Linked DNA regions of Struthio camelus. The main gene of each other region encodes a partner of the protein of the gene in region 2 in a complex. Links are inferred from orthologs where the notes say so. Each region holds a gene or a part of one and is shown on either strand. Other genes may lie near its edges.

Evidence for each region. Proteins that work in one complex are often made in the same cells at the same time.
Region 1: the proteins of RANGAP1 (region 2) and SENP2 are in contact, whole or in part, in a crystal structure (PDB 2IO3), measured with the Homo sapiens proteins. The link is inferred for Struthio camelus from reciprocal best matches to the Homo sapiens genes RANGAP1 and SENP2. Residues at the interface, in NP_001265580.1 of Homo sapiens: Glu467, Asn508, Thr511, Thr514, Arg515, Val518, His519, Leu523, Lys524, Ser525, Glu526, Asp527, Val529; in NP_067640.2 of Homo sapiens: Tyr408, His409, Trp410, Val477, His478, Asp495, Met497, Gly498, Gln499, Lys500, Pro536, His537, Gln541, Gln542, Asn544, Gly545.

The regions. Positions count from the first base shown.
Region 1 is NC_090950.1:3,002,006-3,009,698, reverse strand, and holds the start of SENP2 (sentrin-specific protease 2), read right to left. Parts: upstream 3,010-7,693; 5' UTR 2,992-3,009; coding exon 2,885-2,991; intron 1-2,884. UniProt on the Homo sapiens protein: Protease that catalyzes two essential functions in the SUMO pathway.
Region 2 is NC_090942.1:56,877,858-56,885,299, forward strand, and holds the start of RANGAP1 (ran GTPase-activating protein 1), read left to right. Parts: upstream 1-4,441; 5' UTR 4,442-4,768; intron 4,769-4,812; exon of another isoform or gene 4,813-5,089; intron 5,090-5,523; 5' UTR 5,524-5,561; intron 5,562-7,216; 5' UTR 7,217-7,243; coding exon 7,244-7,355; intron 7,356-7,442. UniProt on the Homo sapiens protein: GTPase activator for RAN. Converts cytoplasmic GTP-bound RAN to GDP-bound RAN, which is essential for RAN-mediated nuclear import and export. Mediates dissociation of cargo from nuclear export complexes containing XPO1, RAN and RANBP2 after nuclear export.

The DNA.
Region 1 (7,693 bases), on a different chromosome or scaffold from region 2:
AAGCATTGCAAAAGGTTTCACTTTGGGAACAGACAGTGTTTTCTAATGGCTTTTCCCTTTGCTTCCAAAAAGGCTGTGATGCACTGTAAGGATTCTTTGGTCTTTCTTCAACAAAATAATTCCTTTAAAACTGTTACGCTCCCAAACAAAGCTGGTACCATCACTAGTGGACTATCTTCCTTTTCTATCGGGTGCACGAAAAGCTCTTCAAACATAACTGATATCCTTAACTGCACCTTTCATATAGAGCTATTGATATGCTAATAAAGGCAGGAAGAAAATATGGGGGGGCAGGTGTTAAGTGCAAGTTTGATATTTCAGAAGGTAAAACTGAAGAGGATAAAAATATGTCTGTGTCCTCCTGATCTTTTTTTTTTTTTTTTGTAAAGCAAGAGCTAAGTTTCATTCTGAGCTGGTCTTCAGTGAAAATTTTCCAGCATTAGTCTTAGCAGAGCCAAAGTACAGTTCACCCTTCTCAATGCTACATTTTGAGGTAAGCATAGTTTAAATACGTGCCTGTGGTAACAGTAACTGCTCTTGAACAGAAATGCATCATCCTCCAGTTTTAGCAGAGCACTAAACATCTGTGAGAGCGTTATTTTGTCCTTTTTTAATTTATCAAATACTTGGGTGTTTAGAATTAGTCTGATCACTGGGAAAGATGAATTATCTCTTGGTAATTCAGATGTAAATTCGGAACTCCTTGATTGTCTAAAGTAGGCATGGCCAGGGAACGCAGACAGGTAAAAGACGGCAGCTAGGAAAGAAATGAATCTATGCTTAGCTACCTTTGTCTCCAACATGAATGCAAACACCTCCTCTGAGGAGGTTACGCTCTGTCATTACAATCTAGGTTTTACCAAGGGTCTGGGTGACAGGAATAAGGACACTGATGTCAAACAATATTTGAAACAAGCTGAAAAAACAGGCCAGAAAACATGAGCCATTTGAGACTGCTGTACATGCAAGGATACGCTCGCATCCTTCCCCTTGTTCTAGGGGAGACGGCACCCATTTGTGGCCATCATTTTACTTTCCTCTTCAGCAGCCACAGGAAAAAAAAATAAGGTATTAGAAAAGTGCAATAATGCTATATATATATATATATATATATATATATGTATGTATGTATGTGCGTAAGCTCAGGCTCTGTTCTTTTCAAACCCCCCTCCCTGCCCTGCAAGAGCACAGAGAACAGTTCATTAAGGTTTATAATATAAAGCTGCAGATAAATTCAAATTTTCACAGGTTAATCAAAGAAAATTGAGTACTGCACTTCAGCAGTGCTCTACAGTAGTAGCTATGTGTATCTGCTTTCCCCACCGGTTTCACCAGCCCCAGCTTTTCCTCTTTCTACTATGGGAAAACAGCAAGGGGCTATAAGTAGCAAAGCAAGCAACTTTTGGGGGACTTTCACTGTTTTGTTACTTTCGCTGTTCACCTGTTGCTTTAGTTTTGAACAGTGAATGGGAGTTTTCCTAGCTCAAAACTTTCCTGCACCTATCGTGCTACAACGCTAGCTGAAAACACTCTTCTGCTCCACTTGAATTTTAATAAGCACTTGCCCCATCCACAGCTGAGTTTTGTGCTTTACATTTCCCTGAACAAACTCACAAAGGTGACCTGACAATATCTTTGCCATTTTACAGCACGTTTCAGTTAACAATGTTTGAAAACTTATATTCAGCAGCAGGACAGCTTCTGAAGCCACCTAATGCAGTTTCATTTGCCTTTCATCCCACTTGCTTAGCACTGTTATTTCCAGTGAGCAGCTAGCCAACAGAGCCTTCCTGGCCAAACTATGAAATAAAAGTCTGTGGTGTCTACAAAGGTGAATTCTTCAGTTTGGGATTTTGCTCTTTGTTTACTGCACAGCAGCTGTGAAAAACTACTTATGCAGCAACTGGTTCTTTCAAGCTCAGAACACCTTCACTTCTCACGTTCACTCTGAAACGCCCGATACTAAGCACAGCCTCAAGAACCTCTTGGAGCAACAGCTCCTCACAGAGGAAGTGACTATGCTTGGCAAACCATAGCACGCAAGCAGTACGCTCGCTCCCTTCAGACAGGCACAGAGATGGTTCAGCCATCAGCCAGGGCTCCAGGTCACTTAGAAACACCAACAGTGAACATCTGTGACAGCATCCCCCTTTCTTCCGCTCTGTATACATATGCGAACCATATTATGATCCTCACGTTTCTATCCCCCGTCATGACTTTCCCTCATCCAATAAAACCCTATATACACATACATTGTCCCTCCTGCTCCAAGAAAACACACGTGCTCCAAATCTCTTGCCTTCATACCCCCACTACGACAGAAAGTGAGCAAGGGGAGGAGTTTGCTAATGGACTCAGTAGGCACATCCAGCAGTCAAACTGATCTGCGCAGGACACGCAAAGTAACCGTGACCGTAAGCACAGAGCGCCACGGAGGGGCAAAAAGGCCAACAGCCTGGGGCAAGAACGAGCACTGCAGCCCAGCCTGCTTCACCGGCTCCAGGGCCAGGGCGGAAAAGGATGCTGGATGATGCAGACGCCTTAAAAAGGCCCGGCGCCAGCCCTGCCGCCCGGGAACAGGGCTTCTGAGCGGGCCAAGGGCCAGGGCAGACCCAGAGAGACAGCAGCAGGAATGAGAGAAACCCCAGGGAACGAGACAAAACCGGGCCTAAGCTTACGATGCAACACAGCAACCACCTCAGCTTCCGCCTCCCAGAGCGGAGGCGACCGAGGCCCGCCGGGCGGCCGCTCCCCGGCGGCCAGGCCCCGCCGCCGGCGGGCACCGTGGCGGAGGCCAAGGCGGCTGCGGCCGAGCCTGCGCGAGGGAGCCGGAGCGGCGGGGCGGCCCCACGGCTAAGGGGGCGCGGCGGGGCGGCTCGCTGACCTGCGGGGCGGCCTCTTGCGCGGCGGCGGCGGCGGGGCCGGGGGCGGCGCGGCACGGCGGGCGGCGGCGAGGAGGGCGCCCAGGGCCCCCAGCAGCCATTGGTACATAGGCCCGGCCGCCGCGGCGGAAGTGCGCGCATCCCGCGCGACCGGCCCGCCGCTCCCCCCCTCCCCCCCTCATTGGCTGTGGCGGCGCGCGGCCTCCCGCCCCCGCGGGAAGCAGAGGCGGAAGCGGGGCGCCTGCGCGCCGGGCGGGGGCGGGGCGCACAGCGCATGCGCGCCGCTCGGCGGCCGGCGGCGTGAGGCGCCTCGTGGAGGCGGGGGGGGGTGGGGGGCGGTCTGCCGTCCCGTGGCCTGGCCCCTCCGCCTAGGGCGGGGAGGGGAGGGGAGGGGGGGGAGGAAGAGGAGGAATGAAGAAGGAGCAGCAGCAGCTGATCCGCTGGCAGAAGCTTTATTCGACGCCTTCAGAGCTTTCCTGTCTTTCGGTGCAGCCCGGGCAGGCGCTGGGGTGCTCCTGGGCCTGGTGCACAGGCCTCTGCGTGGAGCAGAGGGCAGAGCTGCGTGCCGAGGCCTGCTGGGCTCCAGGGGTTTTACAGCCCCCGGTGCCCGGAGAAGGGAGGCAGCAGCCTGGAGCTGCTGGGCCCTTCCTGGTCCTTGGTGTCCCTTGTCCCACGTGGAAGGGGAAGAGAGGCTGCTCCTGCTGTGTGGGAGAAGCGTGCGCCATCCCAAAAGACTGGAAGAGGTCTTTGGCCTGAGTAACACTGCGGCGTTATCACTAGAAGGACAATGGTGAGGGAGATCAAGCAACTCGAAGAGCACGTTGGAGCCAGTATCTGCCCTTTTCCCTGGCAGTCTCCAAGCAGGTGTTTTGGAGATCCAGATCCTGGCCTTGCAAAGTCCTGCCCTGCTTCAGCAACAGAGCTCTTGAGCCCATTCTCTCTGCTGCTCCCTTTGCTTTTGCCTTGCCGTGTGATTTGCTCGGCGTCTAAGATTTCTGGAGTGGGCACACTGAAGTTTCTCTGGTAGATTACTCTCTTGATAGGTTTGGCTTGCTGTTAGAGCAATACCTTGTTCTGCATTGCTGTTAACAGAGTTCTTGGTACTTGCTGATCACTTGGTCTAGCAGACAGTCACAAGAGAGGAGGCTTGACAAATATTGTCTATTATCTTTGTGGTAGAAATCACTGGTTTTGGACCAATTATTTGGATAGTACAAAGGGGGTTCATTGACCCTCTTGACATGGTTGCATGAGAGGTGGGGAGGGCTGGGAAGACTTCTTGCCTGGACGATTACTCAAAATCTCACAGCAGTTTAGTTTCAGGTTAATACATGACTTACCTAATATGACTGCCCGCTCCTTGGATTATTCAGTTTCTCCACAGTTTCATCAAAGAGACCGACTGTTCAAAAACAGGGGTCATGCCCATCCATCGTTAAGGAAAGTTGAGGTGCTGTTGCTTGACCTTTAGAGTGGTCAGCTACTTGGTGTGCTCGCATGCTCTGCTATTGCGGAGATGCCAATGTCTACTTTATGGGTTCCTCTGGGGGGAAAAAAGGCACCTTAAAAGTGAATATTTTCATGGCTTCAAAAATCAGCTGAGAATGAAGAGATCTCATTTTTAGTTGGGCCTTTTGGCTTTTTCTTTCTTTCTATTTTTTTTTTAACCCAAAGCATGGGTGGGGGTGGGGGTGTGCTGCCTGTGTAACTTTATCAATTACATCTTTTCCAAAATGGCCACTCATTGTTCAGAGGTCAGATGACTGCAGGAACTCAAAGGTGCACTGATGGCTACACTGGAGACTGAGACGATCCACTGTGCTGGCAGCAGGGGATGCTGCAGGCATTGCTGTAGCCACCTCCTGGAGAGACTTTCCACATCAGAACTGAAAACAATAAAGTGTAAGAAAACTAAACTGCCTTAAGGAAGCTGCAGAATAAAGCCTTAGTGAGCTGGGAGGACTAATGTGCTTGGAACAGGGAAGGCGCTTTCACAGGATGCACTTGTTGCAAGAGGACCCGCTAGCTGTTCATGCCTACAGGGAGTATAAATGACGGTGGTACAAAGAGCCTTGTTATATTAAAATGACCTTGCTCATTATACTAGGAACTTAATTACCGCTCCATTTACGGTTTAGGGCACTGGCCAAGGAAGGGAATGACTGAGACTTGGACACAAAGCTTCAATTTGAGAGATGGGTCAGCACCCAGTGGCGCAGGGACTAAGGCAGCATGTGGGAAGGCTTTAAATGAGGTGCAGCAAGGCCTGCAAAGGTCTGGAGAAGCAGTCCAGCAGAGGGCACAGCAGCACCATGCAGGGCCTGCAGTGAGCCTGTGGCTTGGAAATACTTCTTCCAGTCAGTTATTCCATCTTTCATTTCTGCCCGGCCTGTATGTTTTAGGTGAATCCTGCAGCAGAGAGATGGAGTGGGTGCAGGGAAATTTATTTAAATCCCTGCCTAAGGAAAGGCATGAGGTTTAGCTCTGCAAAGTCAAGACTTACCTGCGACACTGCTGTTTCAGTGCACAGTGAAGTGTGCAGATAGAAAGCAAGAGCACTGAACTCACTAGACAACATAATGCAATCCAGTAATCATGGAAAAGAGGAAGGCTGGACTCTTGGGAAAGGGGTCTTCCCTGAACCCAAGGCAGGCTTGTCATACATAAGGCTCACTCAGTTGTCCTGCACTTCTTGCTTCCCTGTCTGCAGGTGATGCGCTGGCAGCACAGACAGCGCAGTGGCTTCTCTCCGGCTCTGCCCGATGCCAAGCGCAGGCGTCCAGCTGGCTGATGTGCAGTCCTGGCACAGGGAAATGGCAGCAGAGCAGCTGGGGAGCACATGCATTGGAGCAGGGTTCATGCGTGCAGGAGTTGCTCTGGCAGGCGTGGTCACCCCAGCTGCAGTCTCCCCCATCATGTGGTCTAACCCATTGCAGGAGAAGTCTTAAGGTTCAGAAAAAAAAAAAAAAAAAGAGAACTCTCGTCAGGAAATCTGTTTGCTATTTTAAACAAGCTTCCCTTATTTTAAACAAACTTCTGATAACACCACTTCCTTATCCTCACAAGAATAGTGCGAGGATAATTATTTTAATGCTTCACAAAAGGTCCGTATTTATGTCTGTGAGCGTGCTTGAAAAGTAACTGTCAGTAAAAACAGGGTTAATGCAACTGCAAGGCTCCATTTTGAAATCCATATAAGCCTGTACAACCCAAAGGATTTGTCCTAGACACATGAGGAGAGTTAACATGGAGTTACATGATCATGATAAAGTGATGCCACTTGAATAATTAATTTTGGAAATAGATGAATGGTAATTTTAGGTATCTGAAAGCATAGCTATAATATACTTATCATTAAAATCTCTTTATTGTACATGAGTTTAAGATGATGTCAAGGTGGCATAGTACCTAGATAGATAGATAGCCCTAGGCATTGTGCCCTACAAAGCAACCAATGTGTGCTGCGCTAGCCTAGTACAGCGCTGGTCATCTCGTCAATCTAGCTGTCAGTGCTCATGCTTTCAGTTACTTCATACAAATATTGGTTCCCAGTTGCAAAGAGGAGGAGTTTAAATTGTGGGTTTGGAGCACAGCGCTCCCAAACCAGCAGTACGAGTCTCAGCAGCATACATTTGCTGATGCTTTCACATTCAGTTACTAATCTTCAGAATTCTTTGCCTTGGGTATAATCCCACTAAATATGATTCAATTTGTCAACATAGCTACCTTATGACTAGTATGTGTTTGGCTGGTCAGCCCATTTTATACAATCACACTCTATCAAGTGGGATATCGTGTGACAGCAGAAGTGGTTGGAAAAAATATTTTTCATCCTAGATAACTCTGAGGCTGAAACTTGCCTGCTGTTTTCCACTGTCCCAATTCAGCAAGATTACACTTTATAACACAGTGCCTGTAGTTAAAGTGCATTTATAATACTGTTTCACATTGGTTATATTTTTTGTTCCCTGTAATTTACATAGCTGAAGGTTAAGTTCACAGCTTAATTCTTTATTATCCCTTTTGGTTTCTTGGTCCGTATGTACATAAATGTAAGCACATCTCTGTTCAGCAACCCATTTGAGCACGTGTTTACATTTTGCTGTAGCCAGTGGGACATACTTCATTCAAGTGCCCGTGTCTTCAGTGTGTCTGGCTGGGTAATCTTACGTGCATGTGAACATGAAACGTGACAGCACATTGTGGGAGTAGAGATGACCTTTCTTTGAGGACCTCTCAGCTTGTCTGTGCCTTCCCCGTAAAATGGCTGCTGTCCCCTCGATAAGCAGTCCAGAAGGCAGACTCCATTTTACACTCGCGTGTCATTCTGGGCAGAGTACAGAGAACCCATTACTGAATAAAAAACCTATTTTTAAAGCACCACATTCTGTTTCTCAAGCTCTAAAATTGTAGGGCATTGACTGACCTCCTACCTCAGCTAAGAAGGGCAAATTTGCATTCATGCCTGTCTTCTCATCTGCCCACTAACATCTCCAAGACATTCTTCCTTGCCCACGGGCTGTCATCATGTCACTTTTCGATCAGCTGAGAAGGTCCACCACAGCGTTCTCCACCCCTGTGTGGACTGAGGAGGACTCTGGAAGCAGGGCAGGGAGGTCCCTCAGCTGGCTAACAACACACTTCCTTGGTGCTCGCCATAGCAAGGAGCTGGTGGGGAAGTGACACATCGTCTCACCTAACTGCAGCTGTGTCGACGCACGATGTCCGGTATAAGTCTGATCTTGGCTCTCTACCATCCACCTCCCAAGGGTGACGCAGCTCATTTCTCCTAGAGCCTCATGTTGGGAGAT
Region 2 (7,442 bases):
GCGCTTCAGGCCGCCCTCCCGCCCCAGCCCGGGGCCGGGTGGGGGGGAAGGTGCTGCTTTCTCTCCCTCAACCGCTTCCTCCTCATTTCCTGTCCACCCAGCCCTGCCTCGCTTTTATAATTAAAGCCCCGGGTCGGTTCGCAGACGCGGGAAGTAGCGCTTCCCTCTTCTTCCCCCCCGCCACCCCGCGCCGTAGGCCGCCGATCCCCGGCCTCGCCTGGCGGCCGCCGCGGGCGCCAGCGCCGCCTCGCCCGGCCGCGGCCGAGAGGGGCCGGCGGCGCCCCCGGGGCCTGCTGCGGGGCAGGAGCAGCGCGGGGGGCTCTCCGGCGGCAAGACACAGCCAGGCTTTCCCCGGAAAAAAAAAAAAAAAAGCAAAATAACCCCCAAAACACTCTCCCTTCTCCTTCCCCCACCACCCCCCACCCCCAGCCGCCGCCAACCTATTTAAATAAAACCCACATATTTCCGGGAGCCTGGGAGGCTACTTTAAGAAAAAAAAGAAAAAACATATATAATATACATATATATATATTAAAAACCTCCCCTTCTACCCGGAAACGGTATAAAAGCATCAAAGAATTAAAAAAAAAACCAGCAACAACAACAACTTATTTGATAAACTTTACAAGCCCCCGAGGAAGATGCATCTGGGAAGCTATGGCACAAGGGCTGCTTCATGGGGTTTATAGCAAATAAGAGGGGGGACACGGCAGGCTAAACGCAGATCGTGAACAGAGCTTTGAAATCTTACAACCAGCAGCCGGCACAAACACCATTAATACTAAGTTTTTAATGCAAACCCAAGGGCTTTTTAGCAAGCTGTTCACTTTTAGACTACTACCACATTTTTCTCCGGGGGGTGGGATTAGGATCTCTGACAATTATTTTTTTGCAAACCCCACAATTTTGGCGGAAGAGTGGGGGCAGCTTCAAAATCCCGTCAATTTTTTTTTCTCCACTTTTTTTTTTTTTTTACATTTGGAATTACAAAACGTTTCCTCTATGTAGTTGCTATTTGAAATGTTTACTTTTAAATGAAGCAACATCAAGATGTTCTTGTTTTTTCAAAGCCCACCCTTTATACATACATAAATACGTTTATATTTTATAGACATATTTATATATATATATATATATATATATTTATATATGGTTTAAGAAAAAATAACCCCCCAAAACAATAATAAGACTTACCTCTCCTTGGGTTTTCCCCCTCACACTATGTATAACTTTTCTTGATAAATGGTATTATATTACTAGAAATATTATTAAAGTATTATTACTATAAGTAATAATAATAGTAAGTGTTATTTAATTATAGAAGGAAGCATTCTGCTTCTGGATCGGCTGCCCCTGCAGCTCCCTCCATGTGCCTCCTGATCTCTTTACTTTCATTTCCAGGTCTCCCTCCCTCCCTCCCTCCCTCCCTCCCTCTCTCTCTCTCAGCTGCACCAGCAAGAGAAAATGCCTCCCTGCATATCCTCTGGGCCCTAGAGGCTACCGGTTTCCATTACAAAAATTCATACAATCTTTCCCTTGTGGTTGTTTTTGAAATTCTTTTTACGTGAATTAGCTTTAACAAAAAAAAAAAAATTAACACGCTTAACTGTTTGAAGCTCATTCTTATTTTAATAAGGCAATTTCCTCGTTGCCGGATGTCTGGCTTTGTGGATATAAAACACACCCCAAAAGAAAGCAAAAGATCCCAAGCTGCCTTTGCACAGTAATTTATGCATGTGAGGAGCAGCAATGAACTGAATGGAATGATGCGACCCTCATGGGATTATCCCATGCATGAAGTGGCCCTTCTGCCCATACATATATGTTTGCTGGCGGGGGGGCAGAGCAATTGCAAACAGAGCTTATTTAATCCACCCCACACTGCTGAGGGGTTTTCCTGGACACAATATATTCTAAAAACGTAAACTTTTTTGTGGAAGACGTACACAGTGTATAGATCTATTACATATTATTATATTATGTAATTATGTATATTGTATGTAATATCATCACATATGTTATATACATATACAATGCATATATTTATAGACTTACAACAGTTTTTAATACACATATGTATTTAGGTGCTTTTTTGAAATCTGATTTTTGGTTTCTCATCCCAAATCCTTCAACAGTCTCAGGAAATGGCCTGATTCTCCACAACGCTCCATGCAGGCAGAACCCCAGGAACGGCTTTATCATCATTTGTTCTTGGGTCATGGCAGATGATTGCGAACACAGAGATACACAAACCCCCTTAGACAGGGGTTTCATCCATCCCTGTCCAGCTGCAACATCATTAACTTCAAATAAGCCTCTGGAATGAGTTTCATGCTCAGCTCCTCATCCACCCTCCCCGGTAGGCTAGGTTTTCCTCTCCCTAAGGATTTTGTCTACTGTCAGATTGTAATTTCCAGACTGATGCTGGTTTAAATTATCACCTCTTTACAAATGTAATCAGTGACATGTTTACCTCTCAGTGTCTCACTTGGCCATTTACAGTGACCCAAAACAGCATCACTTTGTGCTTTGCAGATAAGTAACTCAGCCAATGTTCGAACGCAGGTAGAAAGTATCGTCTGAAATGTATTAAACCTGCTTAATGTTTAAAGCATTCCGGTCAGAACAGGATAGACTTTGTTATACTGAGTAGGTTTGGCTTCTGGCAGCTCTTTTGACACAATAAACCGAAAATTTATGATATATAGGCTGTAAATTATATAATGTACCATATGACATTGGAGAACACTTTCTTACACTGTTCACAGTATTTAATCACAATGTACTTTTTTTTAGATATTCATTATGTTCTCTGATACGATCCAAAGATGACTGTTATTTTTAGATAGGACAATATTTATTTTTTGTTAACTATTCAGCAATTTGTTACCTTGGATTCTTAGGCAATGACAAGTCCAGCCAAGTTGGGCCTCCACTGCAGAAGGTGCTGTGCAAAATGTACATTAAATGACAATTCCTGTTGAGGGGAGGCTTTAGGCAGAAGGAAGGTTGAGCAGGCCTGGTGGAAACAGATAAACATGGGGAGATCTGACATGTCAGATCACATAGGAAGGGGAGCGTCATGGAGCCAATAAGCTTCAGATGAGTCACGGCGCCTAAGATGCCTCCAACCCTGCTGTGAGAGTTGAACGTCTGAAAGGCAAGACGTAGCAGTTGCATGAGAAGAACAAGAGGGCTTAGGACGAACTGAGGAAAAAGAGGAACGAAAACAAAATCTATACATAATAAGGAATTCCGCTGGAATTAGTACGGTTCTTTTATTCAAGAACATTCATTTTTTAAGATTGAATTTCCTCACTGAGCATCGCATTACAGCCTCTTCCACCCCACTTTTTCCTCGCTTATAATACCGAGGGCTGTCTCATAAAGTCATGATCCAGTATGTATTGCCCCACTCATGAATAACATCTTTCCTTACTGGTTAATGTCCAAATTCTCATAACTGGCAAATGAGGTTATCTACGTCTAGTATGCACATAGTCAGCAGAGTCAAAAGGTGGCAAATTCCTACTCTGAACTGAGTTACAGTTGCATAAAAGTGAGTTTGATTTGTGAAGCTATTCCTTTGAGGAGAAGGAATCTGCTACAATGGCATAATATACCTTTAGTCCAGTATAGCTGCATCCACAGTTGAAGTCTTTGCTCTTGCCCCTTTGGCCCCATGTAGCTAGACAATATTTGGGAGAAAAATAGAGAATGGAATGAGATAGATTTGATATGATCCTGTTTATTGCTAAAGATCAGGAGGAATAATAGGAGCAATTTCCTCGCTCATAGTTTCTGAGTTCAGGCTCCCTCTCAAGATCACGCTAATTTATCTCCTCATCTGCTCTACGTTTTCTGATAGCTTTATGCTCCTTACGCACAAGCAGAATCTAGTCAGTGCCTCAGCTTCTTCATTTTCTTCAGTTGCAAGAGAAATTCCTCTTACTACTTATGAGTTAGCTTTAGCTCAAGCTTTCTATCTAGCTGCTGTACCAGTTGGTGGCTTTTATATTTTCGGCTGTCATGCTCCATAAAGAAACTTATTTATCCTTTTCTCCTAGAATGAAGAAGGACTAGCGTGTCTTCAGCCTCAGCGTGGCCTCCCGTGTCAGTCAGCATTGCCAATTAGTTCAAGTTTTGTCTTGGGTCTGGATAAACAGCATTTGATATTGTTTCTTAAAACCTCAGTCACAGAATAATGAAGGAACAAAAAAAAAAAAGACTGTCATGTTTTGGGACCAAATGGCTGAATATATCCAGCCCACTGGAGATATTATATCTATATATATAGATATATCTATAGCTATATATCTATCTATCTATATCTCCAGCACCCCGGCCCCGGGCCTAGGCCGCCACCCAGGGCGGCGCTGCGCGCTAGGCATGCCGGGAACTACCGCCCCGCTCCGCAGAACTACATCGCCCGGCGTGCCCCGCGCCTGGCCGGACAGTGTGGCACCCGTAGCTCCGCCGCGCACGGCGCGGCCGGCCGGCGGCTTGCGGCACGCTGACGCTCACCGCCTCGCGCGGGGCGGCGAGGGACGGGGGTTTGTGACGTCACGCCGGGCAGCCAATCCGAGAGGGGAGAACAAAACTGCCGGCTTTCAAATCCTCCGCCTCCTCCCTCCCTTCCCCCCCCCCACCCCCGGTCTGTCGGCAGCGGCGGCGGCGGGAGAGCTGGGGTGACGCCACTCGGTCGCCTCCACCGGCAGCGAGCGGCGGCGGCGGCCGCGGCGACGCCAGCCCCCCTCGCGGCGCGGAGGTGAGGCGGGGCGGCGGCGGCGGTTGGCGCCCGTTGGGAGCGGCGGGCGGGAGCGGGGGCGCGCGAGGCTCTGCTCGCGCCGGCCGCTTCCCCCCGCCACCGCCCCCGGCTCCTCGCGGCGGGGGGAGGGGCGGCCTCGCGACGCTCCCACGTGCCCTTCTTCTTCCTTCCCCCTCCCCCCCCCCCCGCTGCCACCGCCGCCCCGGTGACGCCGCTGTGCGTGGCCTGCGGGTGCGGGTCACGCGTGCCCGGCCCCAGCCCTCGCGGCGTCGCGAGGCGGCCGGGTCGGCTCTGTGAAGCCGGGGGAGTCTCGGGGAGCAGGTGGGAGGCGTGGCGGCGGCGCGGCCGGTGCGCCGCACCTTCCTGAGGGGTACAGAGGAGCCATTAGCCGTCATTAAGGGAAAGGCGCACTGGGAGCCTGTCGGGGACTTGCCGGAGGGGAGCCTTGGGCTGTCACCGAGCTCCCCGGGGAGCGGGGTGTGGGGCTCTGGATTGCCCGGGGTGCACAGCAGGGCTCCCCCTTGGGTAGTGCGCTTGATAGTCGGTGTCTTGTCCATTAGCGTGGATAAACCATTATAAATAAAGTATTGAGCTAAAGTAACTTTTTTTTGACCATCAGGAAGTGTACAGCATTATGCAGTGGTTAAGTAATAAGGAAACGTCTCTTCAGGCATTTCTAGACCTTGTTTTTGTTTGCCAAGAATACTTCTACTAACTTTTCTGTTGATTTTATTTATTTATTTATTTTTTTAAAGCTTTCCTTGCAGAAGACCTGGCAGTGAAGAGACCTCTGGTAGGTTAACAGTTGGGTGTGGCTGATGTGTTTGCAGTAAAACATGCTTCAGGATGTGATGGAGAAATGGGATGTTGAAATCAGGAAGTAGTCCATGTATAAGATGAAGAAAGAAAAAAGGGATTTAGGGAGAAGAGAAGCAGAGGGAGGGAGGGAGTATGCTTGTAGATTATAAAAGAACATTACAGCAGAACACAGAACTCATTTTTAAACAGCTGGGTGATGAGATACTCGAAAGTAAAGTTGAGAATCCACTTAGGTGAGCGAACTGACCTCTCTGGATCCTATTTAACTTTTGTTCCTGTGTGGTAGAGCCTTTGTGAGTTGGAGAACACCCTCTCTGTTTGTTTCTTCTCTTTGCTATTGGATTGGAAGAAGTTTAGGCATGTTTATCAGCATGGTGCCTGAGTGACTTGATAGATGTTGCCAGCAGAAAGATGCTCAAATAATTACTCCTCTCCTATCTGAGAGGTCAGTCATCCTGAAATGGTAATGTTGATGAACCTTGAAACCCCCTCCCCCTGCAAGTCCAAAAGCAGCAGTACTAAAGTTCATAAACCTTAAGAGAAAGGCACTACCTGAGCAGAGCTGGAGGCAGGTCCTTTTACAGCCAGGTAGCAGGAGGAAAGGATGTATGTACAACTTTCATTTAGGGGGTGTCTAAAATCCTCCCCATTGGAGGGGCTTAAAGAGCAGCAAGCTTTTGTGCTCACCTTGAAGTTAGACAAGAGTGGAAGGGGTCCGGTTTTGTGCAGTTGTAGGGATTAACTTGCATCCTCGTTAACACCTGAAATCTCTTTTAAAGGTCTTTTTCTTCTAAGCACTAGCTGCTTGCAGCCCCTTATTTCAGCAGAGGTGGAAAGAAACCATGAAACCACCAAAGAAAAATGCTCTGTTTATCCTGCTGAATGAACAGGGATCATTCACTTCAGAGTGATGATAGTCATCAGATAATGATTTACAGATGCTACTAGCCATGGCTAGCACCAATTTGTGCATAGAAGTGAAGTGTTCCCTGATCCATCATCAGGGTTATATCAGGGTCATATATATATATCTGTTTAATGTGTTTGAGTACGACTCTGTGGGGCAGCCAAAAAGAAAGCAAGCCCACAAATCTAAGCGAGACTTTTGTAGCTAATACACATGATGTTTTTCAGCAGCTCAGCGATTCTAGAACTGTGCTGACATGAGCACTACTAGGGATATAAATGAAAGGGGAAAACAGTTGTGTTCGTTCTAGTTTGGCGTGGAGAAGAGGGGAAATGTGCAGGGTGCGTGTAATTAAAGGATTAGATTTGGGTAGAAAAGAATGTCACATCTTAACTGTGAAAGTGTTGTATGCAAAACAGTGTCTTAACGTGGTCTCGTTATACTTCATAAGCAACCAATAGCTAAAACCACTTACCAACTTCATCAGAACAAAACATGAGCCTCTTCAGGACTGGAAAAATCAACCAAATCCAACTTTGAAATGTTAATCTGGCCAAGCTGTCATGAGTGAGCTATGAGGGAAAACACTAATGACAGTGAAAACTCGATTAGATATCTCAGGAACAAAAAACCACTAGTGTTTAAATATAAGACAGTTATTAATATAGATTATGTATCATCGTTTGCTTTTCTAATGTTGACAGTTTCTTTTTAATTAACAGCTTGTAAAGTTTGGGAAAGCGGAAAAGATGGCATCAGAAGACATCACTAAGCTTGCGGAGTCACTTGCCAAAACCAAAGTGGGTGGAGCACAGTTGAGCTTTAAAGGCCAGAGCCTTAAACTCAATACAGCAGAAGATGGTAAGAGAAAATATCCTTGTGTTGGGGAAGTGTCTCCCTGTAATTCTAATGTCTTGCAGTAAACCTCCATCCCATCTTGCATGGCCA